2 linked regions of the Rhinolophus ferrumequinum genome follow. The protein of the gene in region 1 interacts with the protein of each later gene in a pairwise test. Links are inferred from orthologs where the notes say so. Each region holds a gene or a part of one and is shown on either strand. Other genes may lie near its edges.

Region 1 (7,442 bases):
ACTGTTTTAAGAATAACCATTAAATTTCTAATTTAATTATTTCTTTTACATGAATACTGTTTAAAAATTATTTTCAAAACTTTCTATTATGTGTCATATTTCCTTCGAACATTACAAATAAAATTGTTTTAGGCACGAATTTCATAATTTTCCATTGAACGCAAATTATATTACAACACTTTCCAAGCGCAGGAATCCTTTAGTTCCTATGGGAGAGAAATAAATTTCCAAAGAGACTGCTTGACTCAGATCACTAGAGCAGAGGTTTACATTAGTTGCCCCAGGGCTAAATGAAGCCCAAAGTTGAAATTACTTGGAATGGGTTTAAATTTTTTTTTAAAAAAAAATCCATTGCCGGCATCTAAAAATTGGGAGATTTGATATAAAACTATAGACATCTAGGGATACTTTAAAAATCTTTAAACCCTGAGCAGTGGGATTGCTGTGTTAACATATGCCAACAATCAAGTGGGCCCCTCTTAGAGGGGTCCTGTCTTCCTTAGTTCACTCCATCCTGTTGTGGCTTGTGTTTCTAACTAGTATTACCTGCCTGTAGACACTTTTTTGCGCTGTTTGGGGGTTGTTGTTTTTTTTAAAACAGTATAGTGAAAAAAATACAAAAGAGTGTCCTATGTAGGACAATAACAATGATATCTAATATCAATCATTAAAATAGAGTAGGAACCAGAGTAGCCCTCTTAGTCACTCAGCTTTATGTAATGCAGTTTAAGAGTTAGCTATGTGATTTTTCTTGCCTTGTAATACGACAGTTGAATGTGAAAACATCCAAATAGACAGAGTATGGATATCCCTGTGAATAGCTTCTGTGAAGCAGATGCCCAGACTGAGAAGAGCATGGCTACCTGCAAACGGCATAGCCTTCACGTCAAACCTTTTGTCTTTTTTAACTTGACATTGAGAACAAATCATTGACAACAACAGTAGCAATAAGGCAGGGGTGTCCAAACTGCGGCCTGCGGGCCAACTGCGGTCCGCAATCCATTGTTAATTGGCCCGCAGCAAATTCCAAAAATATATTTAGTTTACTTAAATAAACCAGGTGAGGCAATACGTACTTCACCTCGAGTGAGTGGCCCGGCTGTTTGTGTATTTTACCGCATATGGCCCCTGGTGAAAAACGTTGAAAAAAGTTTGGACACCCCTGCAATAAGGCCTCATGTAATTTGTAATGGTTGTTTATTCCCATGTATTGAAGGGGTTTCAGAGGACCACAGACTGCTGGCAGGGAAATGGGCTGCATTAATCCCAGCCTCTTAGAGTCTAGTGTTTCAATACCCAAATCTCACTCCAGATCAGCTAACAAACCCAGTCTAATGTCATCTGCCTATGATGGACAAAGGAAACCTTGGGTGATGAGTTGAAGGTTAAATGAAGGGGAAGAACTGAACTGTCTTAGACCCTCTTTCATCTGGTAAAGCACCTCTGTTTGTTGACACTCTTAATGACTTTTCCACTCCTTCCTTACCCCAGTTTGTAAAGGCTCCTCAGATTCAGAAAGATTACAGTTAAGGTCTTGTTTTGTTTCAATCTTTTCCTAGACAATTATTTAAATAGAAATTGCATGTTTTTGTTTATGTGCTCAGCTAGTAATATATAATAACAATGGCTAACATTATCTAGTGCCCATTATATGTGCATTATCTTACTCAATTCTCATTAAAAACCCCATGAGAAATGCTCTCTTTCTTTTTTTAAAAGACGAAATATGAGAGGCCAAATAAAGTATTCATCATAACAGCCATTAATGGCCTGCTCCCAAAATCCTGCTTTCAACCATTATTCTACAAGTGTAGCAGCTTTCAAAGTGTACCATGTCCATCTCTAACAAGAGTAAGAATTAAAACTATGAAAATTAGAGTTTGGTGCAGGACACAGACTATGTCAATAAACCAAAGAATGAAAGAAGATGATGACATTCGGTGAAGGCCAAATGCCAACCAATGCATCACCAAGGAAAATGTTTTTGGAGTTATTAGTATTAGACAGTGAGCAACCCACATAACACGAATCTCCCTGGAGATGTAATGAAATTAAAGAAGATCCAGAGAAAACAACATCAATAATCAAGGAAAAGGAAACGGGGCTTGAATGAGAAGAGACAAAAAGTTAGCAGGCTTTATTTGGGAAAGATGAATACTTAGTGGGGGTGGGTACATCAGGATGGCAGACTCCTAATTAAACTAAAATACAACTTCACCCGGCTAATAATAAGCATTAAGAATGTATTCTGAGAATTGATATGCTTTGGAGGAGATGCTTAGAATATTTGTATCTTTAAGGTTTACATTTTTAAAATTTATTTTTTATTAGTTTCAGGTGTACAAAACAGCATAGTGATTAGACATTTATACCCCTCACAAAGTGATAACCCCAACAAGTCTACTACCCATCTGACCCCCATACATAGCTATTACAATACCATTGACTATATTCTCTATGCTGTACTTTACATCCCGTAATTATACATTTTTTTAATTATAGTTGACATTTAATATTATTTTATATAAGGTTTGCATTTTTAATAAAGAAATTAGTATGTTTAGGAGGTGTATTCCTATTTTCCAGGTTTGAAATACACACCTGCAGCCTGAATGATCTTTTCAAAATGCAAATTTGATCATAGAATACCTTCTTCCATTAAAACGGCTTCTCACTGTTTATTAAGGATTAAAAAATCCTTAACACAGTCATGCAGGGAAATCAAAAGTTCTTGTCCTTACTTTTCCAGGATCCCCTAGAATCACAGTCCCCCTTGCTGGCAATTGTGGCATCATGACAGTTCTCCCAGCATCTAAACTTCAGTGGGCAGCTCCCTCTTCTTGTCTTGGGCCTTATCAGGTCCCCCCTTCCTAGCCCTCACAGCATCTCTTTTTCCTCCCCACTAGACTGTTAATTCTGGGTAGGCAGAGGTGACCTGCCGTTGCTTACCTTTGTGTCCCCAGCAGTTGTCAGTCGGTAAAAGCCCTGGAAATATCTGTTGACTAGAGGAGCCCAGGCCCTCCTTTAATACCACTCCCCAGAGCCCAGTTCTGGTTGGGTTAAATTAGGGAGCCAGTGATTAGAGGTAGTATTTTTATTTCATTTTTGAAAACTTGGAAGGAAAAAGAATTTTCTGTATGTAAACTAATATATGACTATGAAATCAATCATTTTAAACTAAGAGAGACTAAACGCTTCCATTTGCATTTAAATCCATTTAAAAATAGACTCTGCCCCCAGCTCCCTTGCTTTATATAGCTCCATCTAAGACACTTCATATATTTCACTTATTTATTTTCTTTATTGTGCATCTTCCCCACTAAGAAGTAAACTCCAGGAGGGATGGGATGTCTGTCAGTTTTGCTCACTGCTGTATCTCCAGAGCCTAAAACAGTTTGGGGCACATAGTAGTAAATGTTCTCAGTATAGTATTTGTCGAATGAATGGTTTTACATTAGTAGTTTTCTTTGCCCAGAAGTAATGGCAGAAAGCATCAATTAGCCCCAAAGTAAATTTTCGTGGAACTCTGGTCTGGATTTTTTAAAATCTTAGAGATTGTATTCAATTATGATCTTTAAAAATTAGGCTTCCTAAGTATGTCTGGGGCCGTAAAATTATAATGCATCTGAATCACCTGAGAACTTATAAAAATGCAAATTATTACCATCAGAGATTCTAATTCTGCAGTCTGGGGTCGGATCCTACCAGTTCCAGGAGCTGCGTTTGGTTGTAGCCCAAGGGCCATACTTTGAGAAACACTGGCTGCGATTGCACACAGTAGACTCAACACGTGCTGAGTGAAAACATCCTTCTTTACAGCAGGGTTAATTGCTTGCATTCGTTCTGTTCTGTACGCCTACGGGCCTTAGCAATGAATACTGAATGTCCAAGGGACAGGTACTCTTCTCCGCATTTTACACATCAGGAAAGACTGATCCGTACTTCCCTGCTTCTCCTCGATTCCCGCGAATTTATACGGTTCCTACCAGGATGAAAGGGAGAATCACAGAGATTTTTAAGTGTTGAAAGCTACCAAGAAAAACAAGGAAAGGGCGCGGTGTCCCAGTGTTCAGCCGAGAGCTCCCCAACAAGTAGAGGCCTCGTGGGTACAGCCTTTGCCTTTGCCCCAGACGCCAACAGTTGGAGACCTTTAGGCGCTTCCTGCTGCAGACGTGCAGGCCAGAGGAAAACATTCCAGACTCTGCAGAGGAGGTGCGGGGTGGGGCTAGAGGGGCGGGACCAGAGGATTGCCTGAAGCTGAAGCTGAGACTGGCGAGCCCAGCCCCGGGAAGGAGACCAGGGGCGGGGCAGTGGGCGGGGCTTGAGCGCGAGGCTGGGCTGGCCCAGGAGAGGGGGCGGGGCCTGAAAACAGCTGGAGGCGGTGGCGTGCTACCCAGGAGGCGGTGAGGAGGCAAAGCTGAGCCGCCTCGTCCCTCCCCTTGGGGTGGGCCCTGCGGGAGGGCGAGGCTGGGAGGTCGCGCGGGAGGCAGTGCGCTCTAGCCGCCTGTGCGAGGGCGCTTCGCTCCCATTCTGGCCATGGCCGAACTTCTCCGCAGCAGGGGCAACCGATCCCGGGCTTCTCGCCCCGCTCCTTGAACGCTCTTCCTTTTCGACCTCTGGAAAACCCCGTTTCTTTCTGGGGCCGTGGCGAGTGGCACCAAGAGGCGAGCAAGGATGCGCTGAGGACCTCCGGGGCGCGCGTCTTGGGTGCCGCCGTGGGTCCTGGCGCAGGAGCCCAGCTGCCTCCGGCTGCCTCGATTTCCCTACTGCGTGCCTGCCACCCCCAGCCGCACTTGATGTGCAGAAAGAAGCCGGACACCATGATCCTAACACGTAAGCTAGACTTGTGCCTTGCCGTTAGGCCAGCCGCGGGAGCCAGCTGCGGAAGGGACCCACCGCGGAGGAAATGTCACCCCGCCTTATCAAGTCGGTGCCTGACGTTCTGTGCTTTTGAAACGCTTTCCGAGGAGGCTTGGGATGGAGTCGCCCGAGTTTCTTGGAGTGGAGGAGGTGGAGTGTGGGAAAAACGAGGGGTTGGGGTGGGGGTCCTTAATCTCAGGTAATGACCCCTGGCTGCTCATTGCCTGGGGGCCTCGGGCTGGCGCGTCCAGTGGGTTCCAAGAAGGGCTGCGGGCTGGGGGCGACCGCGACTGATTAAGTTAAGCCCGGGTTAACTTCCCGCTGCGGCTGGGACGTAGGGCCGGGCTAAGGGTGCAGGACCCGGCGTGGGGCGTAGGGTCAGGCAGGGGGCTCAGGGCCAGGCATCTTCTATCCCCGCTGGAAATCCCAGGCGGCGATGGCCTCCGGCTCCCAGGGACGTGGCGTGACAGCCTTTCTAGCATATTTCCTTCGGAGACCTTTCAGGGCTCGGTACTTGCTGTCCTTCACCGTACAAGTTCAAAATCAGCGTTGATTCCCTGAAAGTTTATTAATAATTTAAGGACGTTTAGACCGTGGTGGCACATGGAAATGTTTTGTTTTTTTAAAACGGAAAGTAAATTCATCCAAAAAAATTGTTTTAATTTTAAACTGTTTTTGTTCAAATATTTTAAACGCTGGACAATAAGGCAGACGTAGGAAAGTCTCTGGTGGCTGCCGGCCCCTGGAGAGCTTTGAAGCAATTTGGCTAGTCCCATGGTTTGTGAGGGGGGTCTGCGAGAAAGGCTGCGGTGTGGCTTCACGTTCTGGGGCGCTGAATCGGTTTCCTGAAATGTCCGGTGGAGATGCCCACGCCCCTGGCTCCCGAGGGGGCGCCGGCGCTGAGCGACTCCCAGAGCCAGCGAAAGGAAGGAAACACGCCGCCGGACCGACTTTTTTCGGAGTGAGGCGACGGCCTTTTAGAACTCTGCCCCACTCTGTGCTCTTGTCCCCACCTCCAACGTCACGGGCCGAGCCTTTGATCCTACCGAAGGAGTTGCGCCCCCGGCTGTAGCAAACTGGCCCTGCCACGTGTAATTGACCGAGTCAACGCGCGTCTTTCCAGCGCATAACCCATATTTCGAAGGGAGTTAGAGGGGACCCCGGGAGAGGCAGGTTGCGGGGTCCGCTCTAACTCCTGGAATCCTGGGTCTGCAGCCTAGTAGTTGGACGAATCTAGGAAGTGACAGGGCCTACCTCCTTCGTCTGAAACGTGGGGATAGTAATTGCGTTTACTGCGCGAAGCGGTTGTGGGAGTCAAATGAGCTAATACGAGTGCTTAGCACAGTGTCTGGTACTGATGTTTTACAAATACCCAATTTATGCTAGTTATTGTAGAAGGAAACTCCCTGCATATAGTCAGTCTGCACTGGGGAGAAGAAAACCTTGCCTCACACTAGTTTTGAGTGAGTTTTTCTACATCCAACATGGTTAGCAAATGGGTTCATTCTCAGGATTTGAAGGCTGGTTCAGCCATTGTTGATGAGGTGGAGGAATGCAGCCTAGGCACAGCTATCCGCTACAGAAAGATTCATGAGGGTGGCATCTATGACGCATTTGGGTAGGAAAAAAAATCACAGTTTTGGAAAAAGCAGAATTCTGAGTCTCAAATTACATTTTTTTCCAAACTCTGTTTGCTGAAAGGATGAGAGAAAATAATAGGCCAGCAGAACTCTGAATGTAAATCTATCAGCAGCTCCAAGAGGTTGACTAATTCAGCATCCATCTGGACTGCAGGCTGGTCCTCCGCAGAGATAATTTGCAGACCATAAGTGTGGAATTAATGGAGGCACCCAGTGCCATCTTGGCTTCCAGACTGCAGCAGATGGTCAGAGGGGTGCCCTGTAAGTCAACAGACCCCCTAATAGAAGAACTAAAATCCTGGGGAATGAGTGTCAAATAGTTAGCAGATGTGCGTTCAGAAGTTATTTCGAGACATTTTCTGAGAAAATGTTGGCGATTGCTTGTATTAACTTTTATTGTGGCATGCCAGATTTACAGCGTGGCCCAAACCTGGGTGCATATTTTTTTCATTAGCACTACTGTTCAGAGTTTAAAATGAAGCACAGCAGACTGACTTTCTCTTGCAGCTGCTTTTAAAAGTTTGCTTTTAACAAAAACGGATTTTATTTTAATTCAAGCTGAGTGACACCTGACACAAAATAGGCTGAAGCTCAAGAACGGGGCCTGACTTGGTTTCCCAGCTACGCAGAATCAGAATAAGTATCTCCCAACTTAAATCTTTCCCTAGAGTGAATGGGAAAAGTGGTTTTGGTGACTACCATTGTGTCTTAAATTCCCAATTGTAGATCTTATAAGAAACACCACTTACTCCTGGAAGAGTAAAAAGGTTGAACAGTTAAGCAGTTAACTGTGACTAATTGTAGGCAGTGTGCCAAGTTTTAATACACTGGACCAGGCAAAGGATTTTCCTGTAGCTGTGTAGTGAAAAAGAGAGACTCTATTGCACTTTAACCTAAAGCCTTTCTTTGTTTATTATTTTGTTGTCATTCTATATTGCATTT
Region 2 (7,527 bases), on another chromosome or scaffold:
ACAACAGTGTAGTGGTTACCAGAGGGTAAGAGGGGAGGGAGGACAGAAGAGGGTAAAGGGGATCAACTATATGGTGATGGAAGGAGATCTGACTCTGCGTAGTGAACACAATGCAATATACAGATGATGTATTACAGAAATGTACACTTGAAACCTATATAATTTTACTAATCAATGTCACCCAAATAAATTTAATAAATAAAAAATATTCCTTTAACCCGTACCTCCTCAATGTTATTTTCTCAAAACATATCCTCAATAAGGAAATTTTTAATATTGGGCATTTTAAGATGTGGGCAACAAATGCACCAGGGATATTAGGGGTTAGGAGTAAAGGTTTCCTTTCAAATTTTAGGGTAACTGAAACCTTTTGACACTATTTAGAAAAACTTAGAAGTCTGTTTGTATACCTAAGTATGTACTAGGGCATGAAACATAATTTGCAATTCTTCAAACACAGCTGCAAGCTCTTCATCACTTCTTGCTTAGTCTTTCCCTCAGAAGCTACTCATATATTTGATCTAACCCTCTTGAGGTCCTGTAAAATTTTGTTACTGACTCAGAATTACCTTTCACACACTGAGGTATCAAAACTGCAAAATATTTCAGAATGTATTACATTCATATTTGGGATGCCAATATAATCAGAATGAGCCAAATTCATTTTTTAAATTAAATGTTCAGATTCTTTTCACCCACAAGTCTTTGTTCAGCATTTTTGATCATTTAGTCTTCATTAAATACTATGTTTAATTAAATATGTAGAGATACTTTTCTAAAATCATAGATATCAAAATCGCTTTATTAAAGGTAAAAGCTATTTGAATTTTCCTCTTTTGGATATTGTTCTGTTTTTCAGTACCTCCTGTTTAATATTATCTGTGAATTTAATTAACAGACTGTTTACTTCCCTTTGTTAGTTGGTGTTACATAACACCACACCTAGCATCAATTCCTGCAGAATCCCTGTAATGCCTTTCTCCATGTAGATATTTCATTGTTTTTTTAAAAAATTTTTCTTCAGTTTTTGACTCATGAAACTTCAAGGAGTATATCTATGTCAGGAAATTCAGGGGCTTAGAAGAAAAGGAAAACACGGAAGCATAAATTGAAGTAGAAATTAGCAGGAAAAAAGAGAACATGAATGAGAGAAGGGCAAAGGGTCAAGGTGAGAAGAAAAAGAAATAAGGCAATAGACAAAAATAAATGTAGAAACATTTCACTCTTCTGGAAAAAATAAAATGTCACTGAAGGTAGATGACTGATTTGAGATTAAGGAAGTACGCAAGGAAGAGTAAGGATGAAAGCCTACATCTGTCAAATAAAAGAAATATATAACATATTTGAAAATACCTCATCAAAAATACGTGGTAATCTTTTTGGATGAAAAGGACAGCAAAACTGTAAGATTAAATATAAGGTAAGATGTTGGTATTAGTTTGATTTAAAATAGAGTCTTTCTTACTAATTGCACAATTGCTGTCCAAAGATACTGATCTATTCCAGTATTTGTTAAAAGGATGGAGATCTGTTCAAAGCAGTTGGCAAGGATGCCTATCACTGGACTAGGCAGTAGGATAGACCACAGGTTTCTATTTGCAGTATAGTTTTGCAGATACATCCACCTAAAAGTAACTAAAAAACTATATAACTTAGTATCTGATTGGTGTTGGACTTCATTACATATTGGCCTTTAATTGCTAAGGAATGTCAAAAAAGGGGAAGGAGGTAATTTTGCAATTTATAGTAGAGAGTCTGACTTGGAATCTCAGGCAACAGATAGTGTGTGAGCTCTTAGGGAAGAGAGACCAGTGATAACCAAGAGCTGGTGATATCTGCCAGCCCAACCTCCTACATTCAAAAGCTGATGGTGGTAATTGGGATGGATGTGATGCAGGACTGGCATGTTAACACACAGAGTTTTCAAACACAGGTTACATGTAAATTTGTTGGCAGTGGGTGGAATAGGTATTTTGATGGTCTCTTCTAACTGTGAGGATCTAAGTTTAAAAAAAATACAAAATTTCGTCAGGTTGGCCACTATAAGAAGTAGGTCTTCATTATTCTCTTTAGTATTATGGAATTACTTCATTATGTACTTTTTCACGTCCTAATCTCCTTTCTAGAATAACATAGAGTTTAGCAACCCAATACGTACATCTCTTACCCACCTACCTAATGAGTGATACTGAGTTGGCTTTCTCACCTATTCCTCTTTCTTTCAGAACCATTTTTAGGTATTGCATACCTCCTACCTGATTAGCATACTATAGTAAGGTGGTTCTTAAATGGGTAAACTTGGAGGTTCATTAAAACATTAATTACTGCAGTTTCTAATTCAGAGTGTCCAAAATGGGGCCAATGAATTTGCATTTCTAACAAGGCCCTAGGATAATGGTGGTCTGAGACCATTCTTGTGACTAGTCCATCTTCATTCTCCCAAGTGATATACTGTGAAGAAGTAAGCACACTGAAGGAGTCCTCAGGACTACTGTTTAATCAAGTTTGTCAATGATTTGGCAAATAGATTATGCAAACTGCTAAAGTAAAGGAAATTGTCTCTCATGCACCTTTACAACTCTTTTAATAGTCTTTTCCTTTTTTCCCAGGGCCTCTGTAACAGCCCTTTCCCATCCCCAATGTGCTATGTTGGTTTGATCATCCTTAGAGAAAATATCGATCTCAAAGATCAATGTTTACTGGTATTTAATGTGGGATTCCTCCTGGGAGAATTTAAAAGAACGATATATGAATCCAAAAGGGCAAATTACCTATACTGTAATTTCAAACTAAGGGAATGATTCCTCCACCTATATAAATACATATAATAGTGTTTATAAGTTTTATTTATTCATATATATGTGTATATATATAGTGTGTGTGTGTATATATATATACACACACACATACAGAAGGTGCCAAAAAATGTATACACATTTTAAGAAAGGAAAACTGTATTAAAATTGTAATAATACATATCGATAATAAAAGATGACTACAAATCACGTTTGATTTCTGCAATTACAAGAGGTGATTAAAGTGGTTACCATCAGTGTCCAGACACTTCTGATTACGGCAAACTACTGCTTGAGCAATGTTGACCAAAGTCCACTTGTACACATTTTTTTGCGATAATGCATATAATAGTATGTGATAATGCATGTGTTTATAAATACATATTTATTCATATATATGTATGTATGTGTGTCTATGTGTGTGTGTGTATATATATATATATATATATACACACATACATACACGGAGGGTGCCAAAAAACATATACACATTTTAAGAAAGGGAAACTGTATTAAAATTGTAATACTCAATATATACCGGTAACAAAAGATGAATACAAGTCATGTATAGAAGTATAAAAGACAAAACAAAACCCACCTCCTTTTTGGCTATATTAAGGGTGAGATCTCAGTTTATTGATAATTTTTGAATGGGCACTTCCGGATATTCTTGACATTTGCCTTGTTGAAAGTCCTCTTGTGTGTTACATGTGAATTATGGAGCATGCCTTGCTTTCTTTTTCACATAGAAGAGGACAAAAGTGTATTGATTGGTGTGGTATGTAGCACCCCTCCTCTCCACACCTCATTAGTACCCAATAGACTTGGCAATGGCACAGGTGTGTGTGTGTGTGTGTGAGAGAGAGAGAGAGAGAGAGAGAGAGAGAGAGAGAGAGAGAGAGAGAGAGAGAGAGAGAGAAACAGAGGAGGTGAGGTCAATGAAGAAAACAAAACGTGTATAGTCATAGAAATCTGACTTCACAGCCATTATTTCTGCGAAAATTCTTAACGCTTCCCATAGTCTCTCTCCCCCACCCCCGCTCCCCCCGTATCCATTTCGTTTTCTTGAGTTTCACAGCCTAGAGCTTTATTTCATTTTTTTAGTTTGCAATAGTCATATAGTGATTTATATTATGCAACAAAAATGAAAACATTAGTACTGCCTCAACCTTCGAGGCAGTCTGCAAGTCCCCCATCCCAACACCCCTACCCCGGTCCTTGGCCGTTAGGTGTTTGCGCCGCCGGCTAATGGTGTTTTTTCTACCGGTCAGGAAGCTGTGAACTGGCTTTGCAGCATCTTCCGTTCCTTTTCCCCGTCCTTCCTCTCTAGGCTTCTTACCCTTCTGTCTCCTGTTTTCACGGAGCTGAGCGGCAGCTTGCTTAGATACCCACTCTCCCCTTCCCCTCCCCACCCGCCCATCAAACAAAGCCCAGTGAGACAGGCGCGCGCCACTGGCGACACCGATGCGAGAAGCGGCCGCGCCGCCACGCGCTCGAACCGGAGTGGGACAGCGGGCGCGACCGCGCATCGCGCGTCCCCGCTGCTTCCTTCCCTCCGGACTCTTCCTTTTCCTTTCTCCAGGCCCATTCCCCACCCGCTCCCGCAACGCGCCTGTGCAGAAGCGCCCTCTCCCTCCTCCTTCCCCGCCCTTCCTTCCCTCCGCTCCTCCTCCGGTGCTCCGCCTTCCTTTCTCTCTCGTCTATTTCACTGAGAGCTCCAGGTTGGGAGCTGTTCAGTCGACTTCCCCACCACCCCGCCCCCCTTCCTCTTTTCTCCCCACCCCTCCCGTCTCCAGGCCGGTGGAGGATGAAGCGGCTGCAGTGGCCCCAGCCCCAGCAGCGGCACCAGCGGTGGCTGCGGTGGGGGTGGCCGGAACTGGGGTGGTGAAGCGGTGGCGGCGGCAGCGGCGGTGGCCCAAGGAGCGGCAGCCGCCCAGCCGCTTCCCCTGTGCTTCCCTTCCTCTTTAGTGAGCCAGGAAGTTTTTCGCTTCTGTGCATGTATGTGCGTGAGTGTGGGTGTATAGGGGAAGGTTTGGGCGGCGTTTGTGCAGGCGTTGGGTTTTTTGCCCACTTCGCTTCCCGTAACCCGGGCAGCTCGGGAGCCTGGGCTGTGGCCCGAGGAGGGGGCGCGGCGGCGACTCTCCTTTTGTTGTTGTTTCCTCCGCCTGGGGAGCTGAAGAGGGGACGCGTCTGGGTGGGGCGGCTCGGAGCCCGGGCCTGGTGGCCCCCGGGGCTCCCGGGCGGGCTGGGTAAGGCAGAGTAGAGCGGACTTCAACATGATGGCGGCCGAGGCCGGCAGTGAGGAGGGCGGTCCGGTGACCGCCGGGGCAGCAGGAGGCGGCGCGGCCGCGGGCTCGAGTGCCTATCCGGCAGTGTGTCGGGTGAAGATCCCTCCGGCCCTGCCTGTGGCAGCCGCCCCCTATCCTGGGCTGGCGGAGGCCGGAGTGGCCGGGACTCTGGGTAGCGGAGCCGCTTTGGGGTCAGGGTTCCTAGGAGCCGGGTCTGTGGCAGGGACACTGGGGGGAGCCGCACTGTCAGGGGGAGGTGCTGCTGCTGGCGTGGCTGGTGCTGCCGCCGCCGGACCTGGTGGGGAGATGGCTCTCACCAAAGGGACCACTTCATTGCCTGCTGAGAACTTCGGGGCAGGCGGCGGATTCCCTCCTCTGCCACCTCCTCCTCAACTGCCCCCTTTGGGCGCGGGCCTGGGAACAGTGGACGAAGGTGACTCTCTAGATGGACCAGAATACGAGGAGGAAGAGGTGGCCATCCCGCTGACCGCTCCTCCAACTAACCAGTAAGTCAAGACCGCTGTTCAGTGACGGGGAAAGTTGGCTCCTGCAAATAAGTGGAAAAACATACTCGTTCTGTCAGCTATAATTTGTTGTGAAAAGTTTTGAAGCGTCAAGTTCTACGCGTAGGGATTTAATTTGATCACTTATCTTCCCTACGGGCACATTCCCTGGCTTCCTCTGGGAAGATGTGAAGTTTTTAAGATGGGAAGCATAGGGAAATGTGTATCAGGTGACAACCGGATGTGGTTCTACCCCTTCTCAATTGAGGTGGCGTCCTGGGATTCAGCTGAGCTGGCAGCTACCAGGGCAGTCGTAGTCTTATATAGTACTAACCTGTGTGTTCTCTGTTGGAGCTGGATGATTAATTAGAAGTTTTGAATACAAGTATTTGAATGAGTGTTGTACTGATTATCATTTAAAACATGCCTTGGTCAGAATGCTTTGTTTTTGTTCCACTGCAAATTCTAACTTCTGCCTACTGAAAAGCATAGCGATGCAAAAGTTTTTGGATGACTTATGAAAACCTGTGTCAGCGAGAAAGAAAAGTTCTATGACTTACAGGTGTGATTAAGGGCCAGTACTCCTACAGTATCTGTAACTTGTGCCATTGAATTCCTGTGTATTAATATTAGTGCCATTCTTTTATAGTTGAGACTTTGTAAGTACAATATTGAAGTAAAACAAAATTAATAGTGTGCTTCCCTTTCAACGCTTTTCATTGGTGACCAATACAGTATTCTATTTCTAAATTTGACAGTCTACTGCAGAATATATCGAACAAATGACTTTTCCGTATAAAGTTAGTACATCTCTCTTGTTATCTTCATAATTGAATTTAGGTATGTGTTTATGTATGAAGGTGGACCTTGATGAGAGGAAAATGTTGATGTTCGGATGGTGATAGGAGGCAAAACTTGTATAGAACTCTCACAGCTGTCCTAATAGACCTTTAGAATTTCTACAACCTTGGTGAATATCAGAGGAAAAAAAAGGTTTGATTGACAGTTACTCTGGACACTTGAAAGTATTACTTAAAAAAGTTTTTTTGGATAAGCTTCTTTGGAATATTTAGAAAGGACTTTAAAAACAAATTAGGAAAATTCTGTAATACTAGCCTATTCTGTCTTAAGATGTAAGCCTATTCTGTCTTACATCTTTTGATACTTAGGTAGAAAAGTAAAGTTAGTCTTATGTCAGCCATGGTATAGGGGTGTTGTTTTCCTTTATGTTGTTCAATACGAGTTCAATTTTCTTTATCTAATTGTATTCAAACTTACCATGTCAGGTCTAGGTATTGCAGACTTTTCTGAAGGTGTTCTGAGAGTGTTAAAAATTCAGATTTTACACACTGTTTACACACCTTCAAACCTTTTTGAAAAAATCAGTTAAACATAAAGTACCCACTACATACTCAGCATTATAGTTATAATAAAGTGCAACTTTTCATACTGAAAGAATATAGTCTTATGCCAGTTCATAATTGAGTTAGGCATATTTAGTATATTGTAGTTTTAAATTTTTTACAAATAAAATTTGTAGAGCAATTTTAGATTCACAGCAAAATTGAGCAGAAAATACAGAGCATTCCCATTAAGTTTTTTGTAATAAACATAAATACGTACGTAACGTAGGAAAATTGTGTTTGTGAGGAGTCCATTGTATGAGATTTTCATTTGGTATTATGTATTTGAGAATAAAAATATTTGTGTGACTATGTATATGAGATTTGTTCTATTTCTAAAAAGTATCCTCCATTTCTAGTATGTTTTTTAAGTTTGCCACTGAGAAGTACAAATTTCCCTCTTTTCTTTATCTTAGATATCAACCCAGAGTCATTGGAGGCAATACAGTGTAGTGGTTAAGCGTGCAAATTCTGAAGTTAGACAAGATTTGGGTTGGAATCCTGACTACCACTTACTAGCTGTGTGATCTTGGAAAGG

Evidence for each region. The genes of interacting proteins can lie anywhere in the genome.
Region 2: the proteins of rho GTPase-activating protein 7 (region 1) and RASA1 interact in binary tests that used the Homo sapiens proteins (3 or more experiments, as listed by UniProt). The link is inferred for Rhinolophus ferrumequinum from reciprocal best matches to the Homo sapiens genes DLC1 and RASA1.

The regions. Positions count from the first base shown.
Region 1 is NC_046287.1:69,504,309-69,511,750, reverse strand, and holds the start of rho GTPase-activating protein 7, read left to right. Parts: upstream 1-4,435; 5' UTR 4,436-4,796; coding exon 4,797-5,010; intron 5,011-7,442. UniProt on the Homo sapiens protein: Functions as a GTPase-activating protein for the small GTPases RHOA, RHOB, RHOC and CDC42, terminating their downstream signaling.
Region 2 is NC_046290.1:56,677,049-56,684,575, forward strand, and holds the start of RASA1 (ras GTPase-activating protein 1), read left to right. Parts: upstream 1-4,505; 5' UTR 4,506-5,071; coding exon 5,072-5,589; intron 5,590-7,527. UniProt on the Homo sapiens protein: Inhibitory regulator of the Ras-cyclic AMP pathway. Stimulates the GTPase of normal but not oncogenic Ras p21; this stimulation may be further increased in the presence of NCK1.